3 linked regions of the Arabidopsis thaliana genome follow. The protein of the gene in region 2 interacts with the protein of the main gene of each other region in a pairwise test. Each region holds a gene or a part of one and is shown on either strand. Other genes may lie near its edges.

Region 1 (3,756 bases), on a different chromosome or scaffold from region 2:
AAGACGGTTATCAGATAAACTGCGGATATCTGAAACATAGAAGCACACATGTAAAACCAAGAAGATCATGAACAGTCACCCAATTCTCTATATTTTTAAGCATTCTAGTTCTCAAAGATAAGGCAGAAGAACTAGAAAACATATCCCAATCTAAAAATATCTACTTTTCAGGGATTACCAAGTAAATATATCAAGGATAAAAAGTTCCACTTACCTCATTGTATATTTCAAGATATGAAACACGGAGCAGGAACTCCCTTCCTGGAGTCTGAAATATAAAAATGTAGCCAGTTAGCGAGCATGAAATCATATAAAAAAGTCGTGATGAGATGAGAAAAGACATGAACCCCGTTAAGACCACTTACATCCTGGATGATACTGAACACGTCTTTTATTGCTAGCGGTATGATCCCAGGAGATTCTTGATCACCCTATGCATATTGCAAAAGCAACCAATGGCAGAACAAAAAGAACATCAGATTTAGGTTCTACTTGTTTGGACGGGAACTAAAGACCCAACGTAGCTACTTCACTAAAGATAAGCACAGCCAATCTAAATGAAGACCTTCAAATTCCATTCATACGAGGATTTCCAACTCACATAACCATCACCAATTAATGATGGCAAGTTGGTATTTGTATGGTATCTTTTGCTACCATGTAAATGTTTAGAGTAACCCAGAATAACCAGCAGATACCAAAGGGGGACCAAGTTGAAGAAGAGATCCCAATTCATAGCACATGTGTTTTGAAGAAAAACTAGAGAGAAAGGCGTATAAGGATTCTTCTTTTTTAAAACCCTTACATGCATTGTATGTGTCTTTCCACTGCTAGTAACACCGTAAGCAAAAACGGTTCCTGTCAAAATTCCAACCCTGAGTCAGAAAATATGTTGCAAGCAATACTACTTGCGGACCAATTGGTTTAGAGGATATTTCTATATAAAAGATACAGATTTTGGTAAAGCTGAATTTTGCAGCAATGTTACTTACCGTTAACACCTTCCATTGCTGCCTTGACTACTGGTCTCGCAGCTACATCATAAACGTCAATAGTAGTTGCCTGTGGTCCAAAAACTTTATCTGGCATCAAAACAAATTTGGAAAACATTCACTCAATGATTACAAGAAAACATTCAGAATAATTGAGAGGTGAACCAAATACCAAATGCGTAAGCTGTGAGTGGGTTATACTCGTGCCTAACCAATGTATCACCATCAGGGTACCAAGCAACTTCATCTCCTCTTTGATACTCTCTATCACTGCAAACCCACAAAGATAAAAACTTGAATTTGCAAACCCCAATAAAGAATTGACTCCAATTGCATCTACATGAAAACTGTAATCTCTGCAATAGATCTGGTCCATGGCGAGATCAGATCTAGCATACCTCAACGGACGAAAACGAACGGTGACGGAGATACTATCCCGCTCAGAGCTAATAGTATCGTCCATAGGGTCACCGAGAAGCTCCTCTGACGGGTAGGGAACAGGCGATCCAATTCCAAAGCTGCCGGAGCCGATAAGGCCCGAGTCGGAGAAGGTGCGACTAGGCGTCATAGATCGGGAGGCGATTCCGGCGGCGGAGGTAATCAATGAGGAAGCAGAGGTAGAGTTAGAACGAGGAATGAGACGGTTGCTGAGATGAGAAGAAGAAGTGGAAGAAGCGGGACTTGGAGGTCTACTGCTTCTAGTTCTCGATGAGGATGAAGCCATCCACTAACCTCGAAACTCGAGGGTCAAACTCGGTCGCAGGAATCGGTGAGAAGAATCAAACCAAAACAAAACTTCCGAAGATGCAGAGAATGTGTCAGTGGGAGCTCACATGGCTGGAGACATAAGAAGAATAAAGCATTGTTGTGACCCTCTCTTCTTCTTCTCGTCTTCTTCTTTGGCTAGGAGATGGTAGACAGAGATGGTGAGACCATTGAAGAGAGAAAGAGAGAGAGATTGTTTCGTCTTCTTTAAGCGAAGATCGAATTCCTCAGATTTCTCTCTCCTCTGGGTGAAGAAACGAGGAGGCTGAGAAATTTCAGATTTTGAATTTTGTTTCTTTTTTTTGTGCCTTTCCAAATATACTCTATTTTTAATTTTTAAATTAATTGTGGTAGTTGAAAAATTATTTAGGAAGGAGAACGACAAAACAAAAATAAATTATTTTCTTGGGTGAGAATAAAAAAAAACATTTAAAGTAGTTTTTACTGTATGCTGCTGACGTGGTTATTATTGAAGACCAGACCACCGTGTTACTGTAACGTGTATGACCAAAATGGTTTACCGGTTTGAATTTTTTTCAAGAGACGAGCGGGAATAACTATGGCTGACCAAATACTGTAATTACCGTTTTTACCCTTATAGTTCTTCTTCGTATAATTAGTTAATTACTGTACTAAGATATTGACTTATTTCAAACACACTTACACACACATTAATTTTCTTTTTATGATGGAATAATATGTAGCATCAACAAAACACTACTCGATTTCAAAAATAATAACTGGTTAACAAATATGTTTGATGCTTTAATTACAAGCTTTAGGAATCTATCTAAGTTTTGATTGAGAATCTTTTGATATAAAATGCCATAAAAAAAATGCAATGCTAATCCATCAATGTGTATTGTGTATGGAGTTACAACTTAAATCCAAAATAATGAATATGGAGTTACCAGCACGTACATATATATCTGCTAAGCTTTATTCGTCCGCCGTCATATAAAATGTCCCAGTTGGACATACAATACTTTGGTTCATATATATATATATATCATAAAGTATAGAATGCCAATAGATATTTCTTCCATTACTATGAATGGTGTAACAATAATATAAAGCAAATTAAGGATGGAATATGTTTTAAATATAAATACACATTGTAGACATATAGAACAAACGTTAGACTACATTTTAAATATACAGAATAAACATATATAACAAACGTTTTTTTTTTGTTCTGTAGAGATATTTTTGTCTGGGTGAAATTACACATTTCATTATGCGACTGATATAAATTTATAATATTCGTTATTTTTTTATTTTTTTTGTCAGCATATACGTTAGTTAACAATAGTATCCTTTAACTTGGAAAATACAAATCCTGAAATTATTAACATTGGATGCGAACACAATCATACACGGAGATTGATCTGACTTGAGTTCCGGCTCTACCTTTACCGCGAGACATTGCATTGTAAATTACGTAACAGCAATTTTTAAGAAATTCTTGAAAATACAAAATAAATCAAAAATATTACTGGAGTTTGACTCAAACTTTTTGAGTGACGCGCATCAGAGAGGAGCGGAGACACGCGCGAGAATAATTGGCCGGTGAGGAACCGGAGGATATAGATTTAAGCCACCCATGTGATCGCTGCTCCTTTCTCCTGATACCGCTTTACACGTAGACGCTAAACGCTCTTAATTGGGTTAATACTGTAATTTTGATTATTGACGACAACGAGATAGCAAGGGTACTTCGGTAATTTGCTAAGTGTATATTAATTATCCATGGAATATTAATTATTATTTTGATTTAACGCCAAATTGAATTTTCATGTTTTTGTTTCGTTTTGATTTGACATCTAAGGCTAATTGATATACCAAACAACAAACTTCATTAAAATAAACTGAGTAAGATACATAACGTTTAACTATATGATCCAAAAGACCAAAACCAAATTGTTTCGTTTCATCTTCAAGTAACTAATGGGGTAGTTCATTTAAATCGAGTATTTCATTTTAGCTCGACGTAGTGCTT
Region 2 (3,756 bases):
TTTTCTTTGTAGGAGTCTTCTTTCTAGGTTCTGCATCGCTCCTTGGTCTTCTACGACGCCTCTCGACACCAACAGGTATACCGTGATATTTTGCCAAGCCGGAGCAAACTCTTTCACGGTAAGACTGATAAGAGAAAGCAAACTGAGTTAAATATGACCAAGAACAAAACATCAAACAAGTTTGATTTGATCAAGTGACTAGACAACTTACTGGATCAGCCCATTTAGCAGCTATTGCTTCTGCAATTCTCCTTCTTTGTTCAGGAGATTTTGGCGCTCTTCTGTTACTTTTAGCTCCTTTAATGGCTTTCCTCTGCTCAACACTTTCCAGCCATTCCAGTTGATTCTGTTGATCCAAGATGTTGTAAGAATCCCACTGAAGCTCTTCTTCGTCTGTATATCCTTGTTTAGCAGCCTCCGCTAACAAGTTTTGCCACTCGAAATGACATGTCTCCTGCACTTTTCTCCTCTCCTTCCTCCTTGCCCATCGCATCCGCACTCCCTCTCCAATCTTCATCCGTGTCTCCTTGCTGTAAAAATCATGCAAATTTGGGAAGATAGTATTATGATAACAAAAACCAAAAGCTCCAACAGGTTTAAAAGCAAACGAAAAACCGGTACTGACTTTTGTGCGTGCCCAAGATTCGCTAATTTCATCTTGATCTGCACAAGGACAAAGACACAAAGGTTCTATGAGGGGTTGAAAATTCTGATGCATAGAGCAAACATATAGAACCATTCTTACATGACATCACCTTTGGGTCTTGCATTGCAATCTTTGTCCTTTCTCTAATCTTCTGTAGGGTCTCTGCATAAACGCAAAAGAAAAAAGATTATGAAATGTTTCCAATTAGAAGCAACTGAAGATAGATTGCTGAAGATACGAATAAGCAAAAACTACTCACCTGGACTATGCTTCCTGCCTTTGTTCCAAGGAGTGTTCCCTCTATTTGCCTTAGAAATCCTCATCCTTCTCAACTTTTCTCTGTCATCCACTTGTTCTTCGCCATCATCAGCACTTCCATTTGAGGATTTCGAAGAAGCAGAAGACAAAGAAGAGCTCCGTTCGTTTTCTTTTTGAGCCGGATACTTGGTTTCAAGAGTGGCCACTGCAGTAATAAGAACTTTTCCTCTTCGGACATGACTATGACCCGTGTAAAATTTCAAATTCTTGGAGAAACAAGACTGTCTCCATGGATTAGGTAGACTTTTAGCATGGATAATACTCTGAGCCCCCAATGGAACAAGATGAGCTTGAAATGAAGGTTGGATAGTAGCAATATCTGCAAAGATTAAACCAAAGAGTCATCTCCATTAGCTAGTAAACATTCTCTAGATACTGTGCGAATCACTAGTCTTTTCTTATACGCATTTAGACCAAGATTGCAAATGCAAATAATTGATACTCAAGAATGATGAAATCCAATAGAAAAGAAACAAAATTGAGAAGAAAGAGAGTCTCAATACTGAAGTAGAATTCTAAACAGTAACCAAACACAAACCCAGAAAATTAAGAGGTAAATATCTGGAAACTTTACCAGAAAAGGTACCTAAAGAAGGCATTGGGAGCTCATTCAGACCAGGAAAACGAAAAAGGAAGAAACTTTGAAACACTCTTCTCTGCAACACCAACCAGGATGTCTTGTAAGATTATACGGAACAATACATTAAGGAAATATGTTCCTCTTACTGTCTGAGAGAGGCGAGAGTTTTTGCAGGAATTTGACAGACAAGGATAAGCCACACAAAAAGCAAATTTCAACGAAGATACTTGTGTCTGGCTTTGACGCAGCAACCAGGGAGGCGATGGATAACGAGACCCGGCTCGCTCTAATGACCCGACCCGGATCACTGCATATTGGGCTAATGGGCCGCGTTTCATAGCCCAATTCACACGTGGTATTATTTTCTCTGGCCTCTCCAACAAGGCACCTAACGTGGCCCTTACTTACTAGACCTTAATAACTCGGACAAAGTTGGTACTCTTGTTGGTGTAATTCGATTTCTTCTTCTCACATCTCAAATCTCCGATCAAAATCCGAAAAAAAAAAAAAAAATGGTGAGAGATATTGTAGACGATCCGCTTGACGAAGATGATATCGCTCTCGTCAAGACTTATGTAAGTGTACCCTTTTAGAACCCTAAATTTTGCTGTATTTTGTTTCTTTGCGAACCAGTTTGATGTTTTCTCATGAGTAATTTCGAGCTAATTGCTATTTTATGATCCTATTTAGATCATTTTTGTGCTTATATGACTAACTAGCTTTGGGTGACTCTGCCTCACTGTTTGAATAAGTCATCCAAGTGAAAAAAAAACGTTCATAGTTATACTTGGTTTGATATGTTGCGTCTCCATATGTTTTTTTGCTGACCTTGTTAAAATCTCAATCCTTCGCAGGGGTTAGTGCCTTACTCTGCACCTATCAAGAAAGTGGAGAAAGAAATTAAGGAACTCACCGAGAAGATCAACGATCTATGTGGTTTGTGCACACTGAGATAGTGGTGTTACTTTCATTAGTGACTTCTATTTACCGAATGATTAAATTGCATATACGGGTAACTTGCAGGTATCAAGGAGTCTGATACTGGTTTAGCTCCTCTCAGTAAGCAAATGATGCAAGAGGGGCAACCTCTCCAGGTGGGTTATGTTTCCTGTTTTAGATATATCCCGATCGATCTCCTCATGGATATCTTTTCGAGAGTTCCTGCAAAGTCTATAGCTAGGTTTCGTTGCGTATCCAAACTCTGGGAATCCATACTTTGTCGTCCTGATTTCAAGGAGTTGTTCATGACTATGTCTTCGATTCGTCCACCGTTGCTTCTTTTCACCTTCCAAGATGATGATGGCAATTTGTTCTTCTTCTCTTCACCTCACCCTCAGATTCCATGTAACGAGAATACGTCTCTTGTACCCACCCGTTATCATGTTCAACATACCACAGATTCTTTTTCTGAAATTGGTTCTCCTCTTTGTGGATTCATCTGTCGCCGAGGTAAGAGAAATCTAGATACTATGGTAATTTGTAACCCAGTCACGGGAGAGTCCGTATCCTTACCCAAAGTGGAACTGAAGAGTATTAATACTGAGACAAGACCTTATTTAGGATATGATCCGGTCCGCAAACAGCTAAAGGTATTGTGCATCAAGTCTGATGATATCCCAAATACGTGTGATGAGCATCAAGTTTTGACATTGGAGAATGGAAACCATTTATGGAGAACAATCCAATGCAAACCCCATTATCCTAAATCTGATGGAATATGCATAGATGGTATTTTGTATTATACAGCTGGGTTCGATATGCGGGCAAGGGTTTCTATGGTAGTGTGCTTTGATGTGAGGTCTGAAAAGTTTAGCTTTATCAACATACATGTATTCATGTTGATGAATGACTCTTGTACTCTAATCAACTACAAGGGTAAACTAGGTGCACTTCAGTTTACATGTTTGTCTCCAAAACGTCTTAGGTTCTGGGTTCTAGTAAATGCTGAGAAAAATATATGGACCAAATGTATCTATGCATTGCCTCCTTTGTGGAACAACTTAGTTCAGCATACGGAGTTAGCCATTGTTGGAATGACTGATGGAGGTGAAGTTGTGTTGTCACAGTACTGTCTAATATACGCATTTTACATTTATTACTTCAACCTTGAGAGCAAGAGTCTCACAAGAGTTCAAATACAAGATGTTGAAATGTTCAAACGTACGAGAGTTTACACCTCTCTAGGCTATGTTGAGAATTTTAAACTTATGTA
Region 3 (3,756 bases), on a different chromosome or scaffold from region 2:
AAATCAGTGGCGATGTCGATGCCGGTGTATGCAATGTCTTGCTTCAAATTACCATTGAATATCGTTTCGGAGATTGAAGCTCTTTTAATGAATTTCTGGTGGGAAAAGAATGCAAAAAAAAGAGAAATACCATGGATAGCTTGGAAGAGATTACAATACTCGAAAAAGGAAGGTGGTTTAGGGTTTAGAGATTTGGCTAAATTCAATGACGCTTTACTTGCAAAACAAGTATGGCGGATGATTAACAACCCAAATTCTTTATTTGCCCGAATAATGAAAGCAAGATACTTTAGAGAAGACTCTATTCTGGACGCTAAAAGGCAGAGATATCAATCTTACGGATGGACTTCTATGCTTGCGGGTTTAGATGTAATTAAAAAAGGAAGCAGATTCATTGTCGGAGATGGCAAAACCGTTTGAATCAGTCAAGATAATTTTATTGCATCGCACCCTCCACGACCTCTCAACGTCGTCACTCCTACGTTGGATATCACGGTGGATACGTTAATCTCAACTCAGGGTTCGTATAGGTATTGGAACGCACATCTCATTTCTCAGCTTGTTAGTCCCGACGACCACCGTTTTGTTATGAACCATCATCTTTCCAGGATTGTGCATCAAGATAAGCTAGTTTGGAACTACTCTTCTTCTGGGGATTATACAGTTAAGTCCGGGTACTGGTTTCTCTTTAATGACCCAACGAATATTTAGGTTAGACCAGTGGTGCCTCATGGTTCAGTGGAAATTAAGAACAAGCTTTGGAAACTCCCTATTATTCCAAAAATCAAGTACATGCTTTGGCGTACAATCTCAAAAGCATTACCAACACGCTCGCGACTTCTCACTCGAGGAATGGACATCGATCCACACTGCCCCAGATGCCCAACTGAAGAAGAGACGATAAACCATGTTTTATTTACGTGTCCTTATGCTGCGTCAATTTGGGGTCTATCAAACTTCCCTTGGTTACCGGGTCATACTTTCTCTCAAGACACAGAGGAGAATATTTCTTTCCTTATCAATTCTTTTTCAAACAATACTCTGAATACAGAGCAAAGGTTGGCCCCATTTTGGCTCATATGGAGATTATGGAAAGCACGCAATAATCTTGTGTTTAATAAGTTCAGTGAAAGTTGCTCAAGGGTTGTGACACAAACTGAAGCAGAAGTCAATGAATGGTTACAAAGTGTGAACCGAAGAGAGGACGCTTCCGTTTTAACACGATCATCACACAGGGCAAACGTGCGGTGGAAGAAACCGGTCTTTCCTTTAGTAAAGTGCAACTTCGATGCGGGTTTCACGGGTAATAATACTCAGAGTACGGGAGGGTGGATCATACGTGATCATGCAGGATTAGCGAAGGCTTGGGGATCATCAATAGTCTAAAATGGTACCACTGCTTTGGAAGCTGAGACAAAAGCGTTATTAATCGCAATGCAACAAGCATGGGTACGAGGGTATAAGTGTGTTCAGTTCGAAGGTGATTGTGAGATCCTTATCAAGGCAATTAATGGTGCAATTTCTAGATGTGAAATAACCAGTCTTCTCCGAGATGTGGATTTTTGGGCATCAAGATTTTCTACTGTGGTTTTCACTTTCACAAATAGACTCTGTAATAATACTGCTCACCTCTTAGCTTCTCCACTTTATTCGTGTTACAAGTTTCAATCGAATTCTGGTTATCAGCCACTTTGGCTCAAAAACTCTCTTTGTAAAGATTTACTCATATAAATAAATTCTGTTTGTTGGAAAAAAAGAAAAAAAAAAAACCTACATTCTAAATACTGAAACCATAAACCATATGGTAAAAAGTGGATAAATGCTCAACTATCTCCATTTCAATATACACATCATAAAAAAGATTTATATTCAATTTATTGTAAAATGAAAACTTAGATTGCATTACTTTTTTTAACTCTCTTCTCTAATTTAATTTACTATCTAAATTTGTGAGTTCATAAAATTTTAGATTGAGAACAATTCATCAGAAATTCTGATTCAGAACAGTACAAATCTTGTCATGCAAACTTATCTATCTTGTAAAATCTATCTATCACTTGTCGTCACTAAGTACAAAATCTATTTTAGTTTGTTTTTTTTGTGTGTAAGAAAAGTTTTTTTATTTAATAATCTATCACCAATATTTTCCAACACAACATGACCGTTATCTCCTCCAATCTAAAACTTAATTACGAAACTACCCTTACCTCTTTCACTGACTGACTCGTCTCCTTCTCCACTTGGATCTCAAAAGTCCGATCCAAAACCAAATCCGCCATAACTCTCTCTCTCTCTCCCACTTCCCACAGAGAGACACATTCATGCCAGCAATGCCAGGTCTCGTCTCAGTCAAAACTCCTTCCGATACACCGCCGCTACGTGTAGCCGTACCAGACACGCAACCTCTCTCAAACCCGCCGCGAACTCCGATGAAGAAAACCCCTTCCTCTACACCATCTCGATCCAAACCATCACCAAATAGATCCACCGGCAAAAAAGATTCCCCAACCGTATCCTCCTCCACCGCAGCCGTAATCGACGTCGACGATCCATCTCTAGATAATCCAGATCTCGGTCCTTTCCTTCTAAAATTAGCTCGTGACGCTATTGCTTCTGGTGAAGGTCCTAACAAAGCATTAGATTACGCGATCCGAGCAACTAAGTCCTTTGAGAGATGTTGCGCCGCCGTTGCTCCGCCTATTCCCGGTGGTAGCGATGGTGGACCTGTTCTTGATCTCGCTATGAGCCTTCATGTTCTCGCTGCTATTTACTGTAGTCTCGGCCGATTTGATGAAGCTGTACCACCTCTTGAACGAGCTATTCAAGTCCCTGATCCGACTCGTGGCCCTGACCACTCTCTCGCTGCGTTTTCTGGTCATATGCAACTTGGTGATACGTTGTCTATGCTTGGTCAGATTGATAGATCTATTGCTTGTTATGAAGAAGGTCTTAAGATCCAGATCCAGACTTTGGGTGATACTGATCCACGAGTTGGTGAAACTTGCAGGTTCTCTTAACTAAGCATTTAATGGTTAATTAAACTCTTAGATTACGTTTGCTAAAAGTTACTATATAGGTTAGATCTAAGTTTCTGAAGTCTCTGATAATTTTCAGGTACTTAGCAGAAGCATATGTTCAAGCAATGCAGTTCAATAAAGCGGAAGAGTTATGCAAGAAGACTCTAGAGATTCACCGAGCGCATAGTGAACCTGCTTCACTGGAGGAAGCAGCTGATAGGAGATTGATGGCAATTATCTGCGAGGCTAAAGGAGATTATGAAAACGCTCTTGAGCATCTTGTTCTTGCTAGTATGGCTATGATTGCGAGTGGACAAGAATCTGAGGTTGCATCGATTGATGTTAGTATTGGGAATATTTACATGTCGCTGTGCCGGTTTGATGAAGCTGTGTTTTCATATCAGAAGGCTCTTACTGTGTTTAAGGCTTCTAAAGGAGAGACTCATCCGACGGTTGCGTCAGTGTTTGTTAGATTGGCTGAGCTTTACCATAGAACAGGGAAACTTCGTGAGTCTAAGTCTTACTGTGAGAATGCGTTGAGGATATACAATAAGCCGGTGCCTGGGACAACTGTGGAGGAGATTGCTGGTGGATTAACTGAGATTTCTGCTATTTATGAGTCTGTAGATGAACCTGAGGAAGCATTGAAGCTACTTCAGAAGTCTATGAAATTGCTTGAGGATAAGCCAGGACAGCAGAGCGCCATTGCAGGTAAATTTTTTGTCCATACCATGAATGT

What was found.
Region 1: the proteins of AT1G53800 (region 2) and AT4G39050 interact in a two-hybrid assay, tested with the Arabidopsis thaliana proteins (one large-scale study listed by BioGRID).
Region 3: the proteins of AT1G53800 (region 2) and KLCR1 interact in a two-hybrid assay, tested with the Arabidopsis thaliana proteins (one large-scale study listed by BioGRID).

What each region holds. Positions count from the first base shown.
Region 1 is NC_003075.7:18,191,422-18,195,177, reverse strand, and holds the start of AT4G39050 (Kinesin motor family protein), read right to left. Parts: upstream 2,104-3,756; 5' UTR 1,717-2,103; coding exon 1,391-1,716; intron 1,263-1,390; coding exon 1,165-1,262; intron 1,083-1,164; coding exon 993-1,082; intron 859-992; coding exon 806-858; intron 432-805; coding exon 366-431; intron 269-365; coding exon 215-268; intron 1-214.
Region 2 is NC_003070.9:20,079,695-20,083,450, reverse strand, and holds the start of AT1G53800 (muscle M-line assembly protein), read right to left. Parts: upstream 1,808-3,756; 5' UTR 1,564-1,807; coding exon 1,539-1,563; intron 1,284-1,538; coding exon 906-1,283; intron 809-905; coding exon 756-808; exon of another isoform or gene 746-755; intron 664-745; coding exon 626-663; intron 531-625; coding exon 212-530; exon of another isoform or gene 196-211; intron 125-195; coding exon 1-124. Other genes in the region: AT1G53790 (F-box and associated interaction domains-containing protein), read left to right, coding at 2,057-2,119, 2,399-2,480, 2,568-3,753.
Region 3 is NC_003075.7:6,654,293-6,658,048, forward strand, and holds the start of KLCR1 (Tetratricopeptide repeat (TPR)-like superfamily protein), read left to right. Parts: upstream 1-2,081; 5' UTR 2,082-2,321; coding exon 2,322-3,007; intron 3,008-3,114; coding exon 3,115-3,728; intron 3,729-3,756.